Saccharomyces cerevisiae S288C: one gene and its partners. The protein of the gene in region 1 binds, or shares a complex with, the protein of each later gene. Each region holds a gene or a part of one and is shown on either strand. Other genes may lie near its edges. The genes, in order: PSF1, SLD5 and PSF2. A codon is read from its position in the direction of its gene.

Region 1 (2,992 bases):
TTTTTCTGCATAGTTCATTCGACAGCTTGGTTGAAAAGAGTGATAAAAATTTTCTGTTTTATGAAAAGTTTTCATAACTCTATTAAGGGTTGCACTATAAGAACATTTCGCAATAAAGCAACCCTTATCCGGACCCTACATGTTCCGTAAGTCCTGCCTTATTTATCGTAACGGTATTCATCTTACAGGAATTTTTGAATATAGATAACGTTAGTTTTGATAGATTGGAACAAATGGGAAAATAACAATTTAGAAGCGCTTTCCTCAGCGTATCTGAATTATAAAACAACTGCGCATATTGCTAAGAACTGCACTGAAGGCATGAATTGTCTATTCCGTTAGAAATATAATTATTTACGAAAGCATCGCGCAGACGCAATTTTTTTAACATTTTTTTTTTTTCAAGTACTCTGGAAAAGTTTTCATGAAGATCATGAATACGTTACACTACTATTATTATTGAAAATAATATTTCTTTCCTATCAGCAATCGCTTACATATTCATAGTCATTTACTAGGGTATATACCAATAATAATGTCCCGTCCACAAGTTACTGTTCACTCTTTGACTGGTGAAGCTACTGCCAATGCCTTGCCATTGCCAGCTGTCTTCTCCGCTCCTATCCGTCCTGACATTGTCCACACTGTTTTCACCTCTGTGAACAAGAACAAGAGACAAGCTTACGCTGTTTCTGAAAAGGCTGGTCACCAAACCTCCGCTGAATCCTGGGGTACCGGTCGTGCCGTCGCTCGTATTCCAAGAGTTGGTGGTGGTGGTACCGGTAGATCCGGTCAAGGTGCCTTCGGTAACATGTGTCGTGGTGGTCGTATGTTTGCTCCAACTAAGACCTGGAGAAAGTGGAACGTTAAGGTTAACCACAACGAAAAGCGTTACGCCACTGCTTCTGCTATTGCTGCTACTGCTGTTGCTTCTTTGGTCTTGGCCAGAGGTCACAGAGTCGAAAAGATTCCAGAAATCCCATTGGTTGTCTCCACTGACTTGGAATCTATTCAAAAGACCAAGGAAGCTGTTGCTGCTTTGAAGGCTGTTGGTGCTCACTCCGACTTGTTGAAGGTCTTGAAGTCCAAGAAATTGAGAGCCGGTAAGGGTAAGTACAGAAACAGAAGATGGACTCAAAGAAGAGGTCCATTAGTTGTCTACGCTGAAGACAACGGTATCGTCAAGGCCTTGAGAAACGTTCCAGGTGTTGAAACTGCCAACGTTGCTTCTTTGAACTTGTTGCAATTGGCTCCAGGTGCTCACTTGGGTAGATTCGTTATCTGGACCGAAGCTGCTTTCACCAAGTTGGACCAAGTCTGGGGTTCCGAAACCGTTGCCTCCTCCAAGGTCGGTTACACTTTGCCATCCCACATCATCTCCACTTCTGATGTCACCAGAATTATCAACTCTTCTGAAATCCAATCTGCTATCAGACCAGCTGGCCAAGCTACTCAAAAGCGTACTCACGTTTTGAAGAAGAACCCATTGAAGAACAAGCAAGTTTTGTTGAGATTGAACCCTTACGCCAAGGTCTTTGCTGCTGAAAAGCTAGGTTCCAAGAAGGCTGAAAAGACTGGTACCAAGCCAGCTGCTGTTTTCGCCGAAACCTTGAAGCATGACTAGAATTTATAGTATAGATCTTTAACTTTAATTTAAATATCTTTGTTACTAGTCTTTAATCAAACCTTTTTGTTTTCTTTAAAGTCGAAACGTCAGATTTGCTCAAAACCTTCTTGTCGTTACAACGCGAAAATTGTAATTTAAAATAACTAACGAAGAAAGCTGAAAAATAGATGTGAGGGAAAATCGTTTATAAACGGCCATGCTCACAGAGAATCATGTATGGAGATTTAGGTAATAAATTAGTATTAGAAGCTAAAAGAACAAAACAGCTGTACGCAAGAAGTAATCAAGATGTTAATTTACCCATGTATCATGAAGATATAATACGAAATATTCTGAAAGAAGTTTCAAATTTACGTAAAAATACGGAATATCTTAAAGAACAGCAGCAACTAGGAATGCTAGATGATAAGGTGGCTAAATGCCAGTATTTCGTTACCTTGTTATGTATGGAAAGGAACAAGAGATGTCTCTTAGCATACCAAAGGTTGAGAACAGACATACTAGATTCTATGGCTTGGAATAATAATGGTCTGGACTTGATGAGTAGCATTACGTTTAGCCAACAAGACACAAATAACCTTTCTCATCAAGAGCAGGAATATTTGAAAGAATACTGCGATTTAATTACTGATTTAAAAAGTGGTGACTTGGTCGATATTGATTTATCCGGCTCTTTAGTGCCTCCGAGCGATGTATTTATTGATGTTAGAGTGCTCAAAGATGCTGGTGAGATTCAAACTGAATACGGCGTGTTTAACCTTATTAAAGACTCCCAGTTTTTCGTAAGGCAGTCTGATGTAGAGCGTTTGATTCAACAAGGTTATTTGCAGAAGATATGATAAAATGCTTTCAAGCTGGTCTTCATGATATATAATCCTTTATAAAGCAAGATACATACCTCCATTCTAATTTACTCCCTTCTATGTTTACTTCAGCCCTTTTTAATAGATTTCGTAAGTTTTGGTTGAGGAGGCTTTCTGAGCTTTACGCGACTTTATTGATGACGAAGCTTCACTTTATTATAATAATGAAAAACTGCGCAGAGAAACTATCGCAAAACGAAACCATCTTCTTACCCTAAAGCATCCTGTTTCTGAAAAAATGAGAGCATATGGAAAGAGGGGCCCAGTTCTCAGAACTCCTTTTAGATCTAATAAAGGCTTGCCATCTTCTTCCGATGTTGAATTTAGTGATGACGATGTAAACTCCGTGATTCCTGATGTAAGTTCTACCATTTCGAGCAGTATTGCAGACCACCCGATAGAGGGATTATTGGACGAGCCTAGAAAGGCTCAGGACAGCTCGTCGTCATTTGATGGTGCAAATGAGAAGCCCTCTTCACAACTGGACTCAAAAAGGAATGAC
Region 2 (3,293 bases), 960 kb from region 1:
TACAAGAACCCTCTTGATATCGAGCCTCCTACTGATAGTGCAGGCAAATTTTACAAGAAAATGTTTCTAATAACAAACCTAGGCAGAGCACTTGTTTTTGTCAAGAGAAGAAGTCTCAGCATGTGGGAAGAACAGGAATTTGAATTGCAATTCGAACTAGAGTTGAATGACGTTGAGAAGATACGCTTTATAAGTGATCAAGTCCTTGAAATTGACGGTTCCAGGACGATTTTCATAGGATGCAAAGAGAGAGCAGTTTTAATGAAACTATGGAAATTAATACATAATGGAATGACCGCCAAACCTAAAGTAGTATCGCCGAAGTCGGACCATAAAATGTTTGATAAGTTCATTCTTCAAAAAAGACAGAATACAAAAAAAAAGAATCAAGCTCCTCCCGTACCTCAATCGAATAGGCTAATAAATGGTTTACCGGACCGTTGCATCTTAAAGACACCCGAAGAAGGCGCACTTCACACAAAACGTCCCACTTCGTTGCAGACCCGATCGTCATCTAATTACTCAAAATTGCTGGCAAGATCGACACAAATGCGGAAAAACATGACACGGACAGATGAAAAATGAAACTGTGCTTGATAATATATATATATGCATATGTAAGACATGGTGAAGGGGAAAGTGTAATGCATAATAGTTCAAATAAGAGCAACTTTGTCGTCTCTCAGCAGATCCCTAATGACTTCATATCTCATAACGTAAATACTTCCAATAGTGAGTTCAACCTCTTCCTTTAAATCGGGTATTGTGACCGTGTAGCAAGGTTTACCGAACTCGTTTTCCTGCAATAGCGGATCTTCGTTCCATTTACCATCTGGTGGGCCGTTAACGTGTATAAAGACAAATTTGTTCCAGTCGGGCTCATCTATCATGTTTACGCTACCTTCTGTATCATTAATAGCCTGAAGTTCTTCGGGCATGTATTTCAGGATAGAATCATTGACTAGTTTCAACCAGATCAGGGAATGCGTGTCATGGTATTTGATTTCATCTTTGGATAGTAAATCTGTAAGAGAGATCAGCGAATTTTCATCTTCATTTAATTGGCGCAAATAAAGTGAGAATTTGTCAATTTTGCTTAGCCTACATCGTATGTAGCTTCTAATAACAAATTTCAATCTTTCTAACTCAGTTTCCATGCAGAGTAAAGGCAATTTAGATTCGTTAGGCATAGGCGGGTTCGCATTAGAAGCATTTTGCATATCGAGGAATCCCATTGAAATGTTTTCAATTAATTGAGATTGCATGGATATTCGATTCAATAATCTTTTCATCAACTGATGAGGATATGGTAAGAGTTCTGGCGAACACCGTTCATTTTTCCAAGACTTCATCAAGTCAGAAAAATCCTGCTGGGGAGAGACATATATCTGAGTCTTGTCATTCAAGTCTAAGGACGAACCCACTATTGTATTTGCATCTCTGTGGGTAGTGGAAGAAGAACCTTGCGTGATCTTGGTAGAGTCGACAGCAGTAGTTTCCTTATCCAGTTCTGCAAGAATATCGTCTATGTTAATGTCCATCACCGAGTCAGGTATCTTATTCTCCTTCCCAATACTAACAAATTTGGTTTTTCTTACCTATGGCTCAAATATAATGCTATTGAAATTTTCAGTACTAGTCCAAGGCGAAAAGAAAAAGAAATGAACTAGTTTTCGTGTTTTGCCGTAAACAAAGAGAAAAGGGAAAAAAGAGCATCACAGTTGGTTAATCAACCAAAGAGGAAGAAGGATTGAAACATTAAGATGGAGCGATTGAAGCAACTGGAGGAAAAAAGGAGACAATTGAAAGAGCTGCGTGAGAGGCGAAAACAAGCCAGCTTGTTCCCTGGGAGCGAGACGATGGGCCACCATCCCACAGAGGTGCACGCTAAGGCAACCATGGTCAGCGTTTCAGTGCAGACCGACATGGAGGAAGGCTCAAAGATTCAAGAGCCCCAATCTGCATATCTTCGACGTAAGGAGGTTATAACATACGACAAAGGCATTCAAACAGATCAAATTGAGGAAGAACAACTGCAAGAAAATGAAAATCACACCACTACTGATGCTGTCGCCATTGAAACTACTGCTGCCGACGAAAATAATAAAGACAAAGCTGAAAACGACCAGCCAAGGTTAGAACTAGCCAAACCTTTTCTTGTTGAAGAGGCGGCGGCAACGCTGAGCAACGCTAGTTTTGCGCGGCTGGAGACAGAGGTTTCTGCGTCAGGCCAGCAGGCGCCATCGAACATGCAACAGGATAAAGACAACCTCATGCAATGGAACATGGTCAGTGAGAATTTACAATCAGAGACAGACTGCGATTGTATCGCTCAGGAGTATGACCCAGGAAAAGGCGTCTTGGTTGTGGTTTATCTACGATTGCCGCCGGCAGACCTACAGTATGCTAGCAGCGAAGCGGCGTGGTCTGTGGTGAATGTAGTCAAGTGCGATAATGCCAGCGGACGCAACGGCCTCTTGATAGATATGGTAGAGTTCCGTGGTACGCGGATCATGACAGCCACGATCCTCCGTCGGTATCATCCGGAAAGCAATGTAATATCAATCTTGTTGGCGACCTTGACGGGCAAGATCATATTGTACGAGCTTAGATTGAAACAGAAAAAGCCAGAAACACCGGTAGTGTATGTCGTGCAGCGAAATATGGTGGCAAGACACTACTTTCAGCACCCAGTGGTGGCTGTAATTGAAACAAGCAGCGTGCAAGATCAAGAGAGAGTACTTGTGGCAGCTGATAATGGCAATATTATGGAGTTGAGCTGCCTGGACTTGACTGTTTTGCGGAAGCCACAGCAGCTCCGTCCTGTACCGCTATCACAGCTTTTATCTTTGGAGAATGATACTTGCACATATACGGAGCGATTGCAGCGGTTGGCAAAGTTTGATGAGGTAGGTATAGCTTGCATGGCGTACACGAGTGAGGACCCGCAGTACGTCTGGATCGGTGGCGAAGACGGTGGTATATACAAGGTTTTCTGGGACCAACCTGGGCCGCTGTACCTCTCTTTGGACAACAATGGGTTCCAACCTGCAGAAAACCACTCTACGAGGGTAACCGGGTTAGAGTTTCATTGGGACGATGCTCGGCGGCTAATGCTTCTATTATCATGTTCCACGGACTGGACGGTGCGGCTGTGGGACGCGCGAGCAGGGAAAGCTATCATAGGGGCGCCATTGTTGTTAGGGGGGCCCGTACTACGTGCACGCTGGCTCGAAAAAAACAATGGAGGGGAAAATAGTCGCACTCTACGGTGTCAAGTGTGGTGTGCAGAT
Region 3 (2,818 bases), on another chromosome or scaffold:
AATCCTTTTTATGTAGTCATGCAAATCCAAAGATCTTTTAAAGCTCTGATCGATGATGGATTTAAATTTGTTGATATCTAGTTTTGGACTATTGCTCGAGGGTTTTGCTCCTTTCTCAGGTACGTGAAACTTCTTTGGAAGCCCAATTGAGTTGAATTGAGTCAGCGTCTTATAGTCATAAGTTTTGATATGGACGCCCTTTTTGAGAACAGTTGTCACTAAAACTGCATCTGAGTTAGAAGGAGCTGCATTTACCTGTTGGGAAGGCAATTCATACCATGCGTGATCATCAAACATGTTGGCTGGTGAGTCTATCTCGCCGTCCTTTTTTTTAAACCTTGGTAAAGAAGAAGAAATTAGCGATCGGTCTGTCAATAAATTATATACTAAAGGATTTTTCCTATCTGATGATAGTGCGGCAGCTTTGACAGTTGTAATCAGTCCCGTTGCTGTAGCCGCTAGATTTGATAAAACTTTGTCCATCAATAACAGGTTTTCTAAATGATCATGGTATTCACATTCTAAGGAAGATATCTCATCTTTTTTAACGTACACCTCCATTCTGTGTAACAGGTTTTGGGAGCGTGGCTCTCGTTTGGTTAGAGTGCTTATATTGTGAGATAATGACGAGGACAAATGCTCGAGTTCCTGAGAAAGATTGATGAATACATGAGCGTTATCATTTCTCTCTCCCGAAGGTATACCTCCGGCATTATTTAGAATGAAGAATTTGTCAATGTGTGGAATATTCCCTTGGCACAGGCAATCCATAAATTTTACAACATCCTTTGTCATGAATTCTGAAGCAGTCTCTTCATTATACACATAAGGTTTCACAATTGGTATAAAATTGGAATTTCCAATATCAAAGAAACGACTCTCTTGCGAAAAAACAGAATGATATAACCCAGTGCGGGATTTAGTAAGACCCTCCTTAAGGTGAAGTGGCTTTAAATCTGCTTCTGTAACGATACTGTCAAGTAACTCTGCCTGTATATTTACATGAGTTGGCGACGGCGGAATTACAAACATAGGTCGCAAACCTAGCATTCCTAGTCTCTTTATGACACTTGAAAACTGGGACAAAATCGCTGGTGCGACTTTATGCAGGTCCCTGATAAAAAACAAACAATGATTATGCTGCCCACTATCATTTGTATATTTTGAGAGATAATCCTTAGCCTCTCGTTTTGTAGCGGTTGTATTCAGAACTGAAAGGATCAAGTTTTTTGAAGATGCATTGGGTTGATCATACTTGAGTTCATGCGCGAATATTCTCCTCCACATGATAAAAGTAACCGACTAGTGTCCTAGATTGACGGTCCTAGCTTCAAATGTGTTAACTTTCACAATTTATGTCGAACGTGCTTATGACTCCATGGGAAGATCAGTGATGACTAACCTTTTTTTTCTCCAGCGTGAAATTTCTTGTGATATTTTCCATTTAATGAAAAATCAGTCGCCTAAAGTGTAACTATGAAATGGTTAACAAAAAAGAGTTTTATACTTAGAGAGGATCAACGGCTGATCTGAAATAAGACTAGTTTCATAGACGCATGTCACTACCGGCACATTTGCAGCAGACTTTCTCACCAGAAGAAATACAGTTCATTGTGGAAAACGAGCCAATAAAGATTTTTCCCAGAATAACAACACGCCAAAAAATTCGTGGCGATGATAGAGGAACTGGAAACCACACCCGCTGGCAACTTATTACTACAGATGACAAAGCTTTAAATAATATGGTAGCCATGCGTTCTACAGAAGTGGTTCTTTGGATCGCTCTATTACTGAAGCAACAATCCAAGTGCAGTATTGTAGCACCACAGTGGTTAACGACGAAAGAGCTTGATAGAAAAATACAATATGAGAAAACTCATCCGGATAGGTTTAGTGAGTTGCCGTGGAACTGGCTTGTCTTGGCACGTATACTTTTCAATAAAGCTAAGGATGATTTTCATGACCCCATTCACGAATTACGTGGTAAAATACAAGACTTAAGGGAAATAAGGCAGATCAAAGTGTTAAAAGGCCTTAAGTATTTGAATGAATCTCATTTACAATTGGATAATTTAAGTCTATTAGAAATCAATGAGTTGAGGCCGTTCATTACTGAAATCATGGATAAACTGCGAGAAATTCACACAGCATCTCTTACCGCTGGTACTGAAAATGATGAAGAAGAATTCAATATTTAAAAAAGTGCTGGCTTTGCAATAATTAGAACTTTCAGTGATATGCGTATGTATATATATGTACTTGTTGTGGTATCCTAGTTAATGGGCATAGAATGTATTTCATCAAAGCCCAAAATTCATTTTAAAGCCATTTCCGAATGGGAAGCCACTTCCTGGATTTTTGAACATGTTATTTTGCCTAGGCCCCTGAGGAAAAGTGTTGCGGCGGGGGTTTGATCTGGAAAGATCGTATTCCTTCCTTTTATCGTCATCACTTAATGTTTCGTACGCTTCATTGATTTGTGACATAGTTTCGTGAATTGATTCTTGTTTGTCGTTATGGTTGGCCTTTATTTTGTCTGGGTGGTATTTTTTGGTTAAATTTAAATATGCTTTCCTTATTTCTTTCGAACTAGCACTAGGCGATACTCCAAGAATTTTATAATAGTCCTTTTTTGGGTCGTAGTTAGGCGCTGCTGGGGGTGCTTGATGTCGTTGGTGTTGTTGCTGCTGTTGTTGTTGTTGGAAATATTGCTGGTTGAAATTCCGATGTTTATGCTCTTTATAGGTTTGTAATTGTTTCTGTAATAATCGGAAGTTCTTCATCACGTATGGATTGGTCGACTCTGAGAGGCCGTTAT

What was found.
Region 2: the proteins of PSF1 (region 1) and SLD5 are in contact, whole or in part, in a cryo-EM structure (PDB 3JC6), measured with the Saccharomyces cerevisiae proteins. Residues at the interface, in NP_010296.3 of Saccharomyces cerevisiae: Leu41 (codon at 1,960), Ser45 (codon at 1,972), Arg48 (codon at 1,981), Leu76 (codon at 2,065), Met79 (codon at 2,074), Glu80 (codon at 2,077), Lys83 (codon at 2,086), Arg84 (codon at 2,089), Leu86 (codon at 2,095), Leu87 (codon at 2,098), Gln90 (codon at 2,107), Arg91 (codon at 2,110), Thr94 (codon at 2,119), Asp98 (codon at 2,131), Trp102 (codon at 2,143), Asn103 (codon at 2,146), Gln126 (codon at 2,215), Glu127 (codon at 2,218), Glu129 (codon at 2,224), Tyr130 (codon at 2,227), Glu133 (codon at 2,236), Tyr134 (codon at 2,239), Leu137 (codon at 2,248), Ile138 (codon at 2,251), Leu141 (codon at 2,260), Gly144 (codon at 2,269), Asp145 (codon at 2,272), Leu146 (codon at 2,275), Val147 (codon at 2,278), Asp148 (codon at 2,281); in NP_010777.3 of Saccharomyces cerevisiae: Leu88 (codon at 1,280), Ile91 (codon at 1,271), Ser92 (codon at 1,268), Leu127 (codon at 1,163), Glu130 (codon at 1,154), Thr131 (codon at 1,151), Glu134 (codon at 1,142), Arg135 (codon at 1,139), Lys137 (codon at 1,133), Phe138 (codon at 1,130), Ile140 (codon at 1,124), Arg141 (codon at 1,121), Ile144 (codon at 1,112), Arg145 (codon at 1,109), Leu148 (codon at 1,100), Asp152 (codon at 1,088), Lys153 (codon at 1,085), Asp178 (codon at 1,010), Tyr182 (codon at 998), Thr185 (codon at 989), His186 (codon at 986), Ile189 (codon at 977), Trp190 (codon at 974), Leu193 (codon at 965), Val194 (codon at 962), Asp196 (codon at 956), Ser197 (codon at 953), Ile198 (codon at 950), Leu199 (codon at 947), Tyr201 (codon at 941).
Region 3: PSF1 (region 1) and PSF2 share a complex: the UniProt entries of both Saccharomyces cerevisiae proteins name them as parts of the GINS complex.

What each region holds. Positions count from the first base shown.
Region 1 is NC_001136.10:471,318-474,309, forward strand, and holds PSF1 (DNA replication protein PSF1), read left to right. Parts: upstream 1-1,839; coding exon 1,840-2,466; downstream 2,467-2,992. Other genes in the region: 60S ribosomal protein uL4 RPL4B, read left to right, coding at 536-1,624; RAD61 (Rad61p), read left to right, coding at 2,729-2,992. UniProt on the Saccharomyces cerevisiae protein: Required for DNA replication. Functions as part of the GINS complex which plays an essential role in the initiation of DNA replication by binding to DNA replication origins and facilitating the assembly of the DNA replication machinery.
Region 2 is NC_001136.10:1,429,260-1,432,552, reverse strand, and holds SLD5 (DNA replication protein SLD5), read right to left. Parts: upstream 1,542-3,293; coding exon 657-1,541; downstream 1-656. Other genes in the region: serine/threonine protein kinase PKH1, read left to right, coding at 1-585; PAC11 (dynein intermediate chain), read left to right, coding at 1,764-3,293. UniProt on the Saccharomyces cerevisiae protein: Required for DNA replication. Functions as part of the GINS complex which plays an essential role in the initiation of DNA replication by binding to DNA replication origins and facilitating the assembly of the DNA replication machinery.
Region 3 is NC_001142.9:304,601-307,418, reverse strand, and holds PSF2 (DNA replication protein PSF2), read left to right. Parts: upstream 1-1,556; coding exon 1,557-2,198; downstream 2,199-2,818. Other genes in the region: ARG2 (acetyl-CoA:L-glutamate N-acetyltransferase), read right to left, coding at 1-1,287; JEM1 (Jem1p), read right to left, coding at 2,301-2,818. UniProt on the Saccharomyces cerevisiae protein: Functions as part of the GINS complex which plays an essential role in the initiation of DNA replication by binding to DNA replication origins and facilitating the assembly of the DNA replication machinery.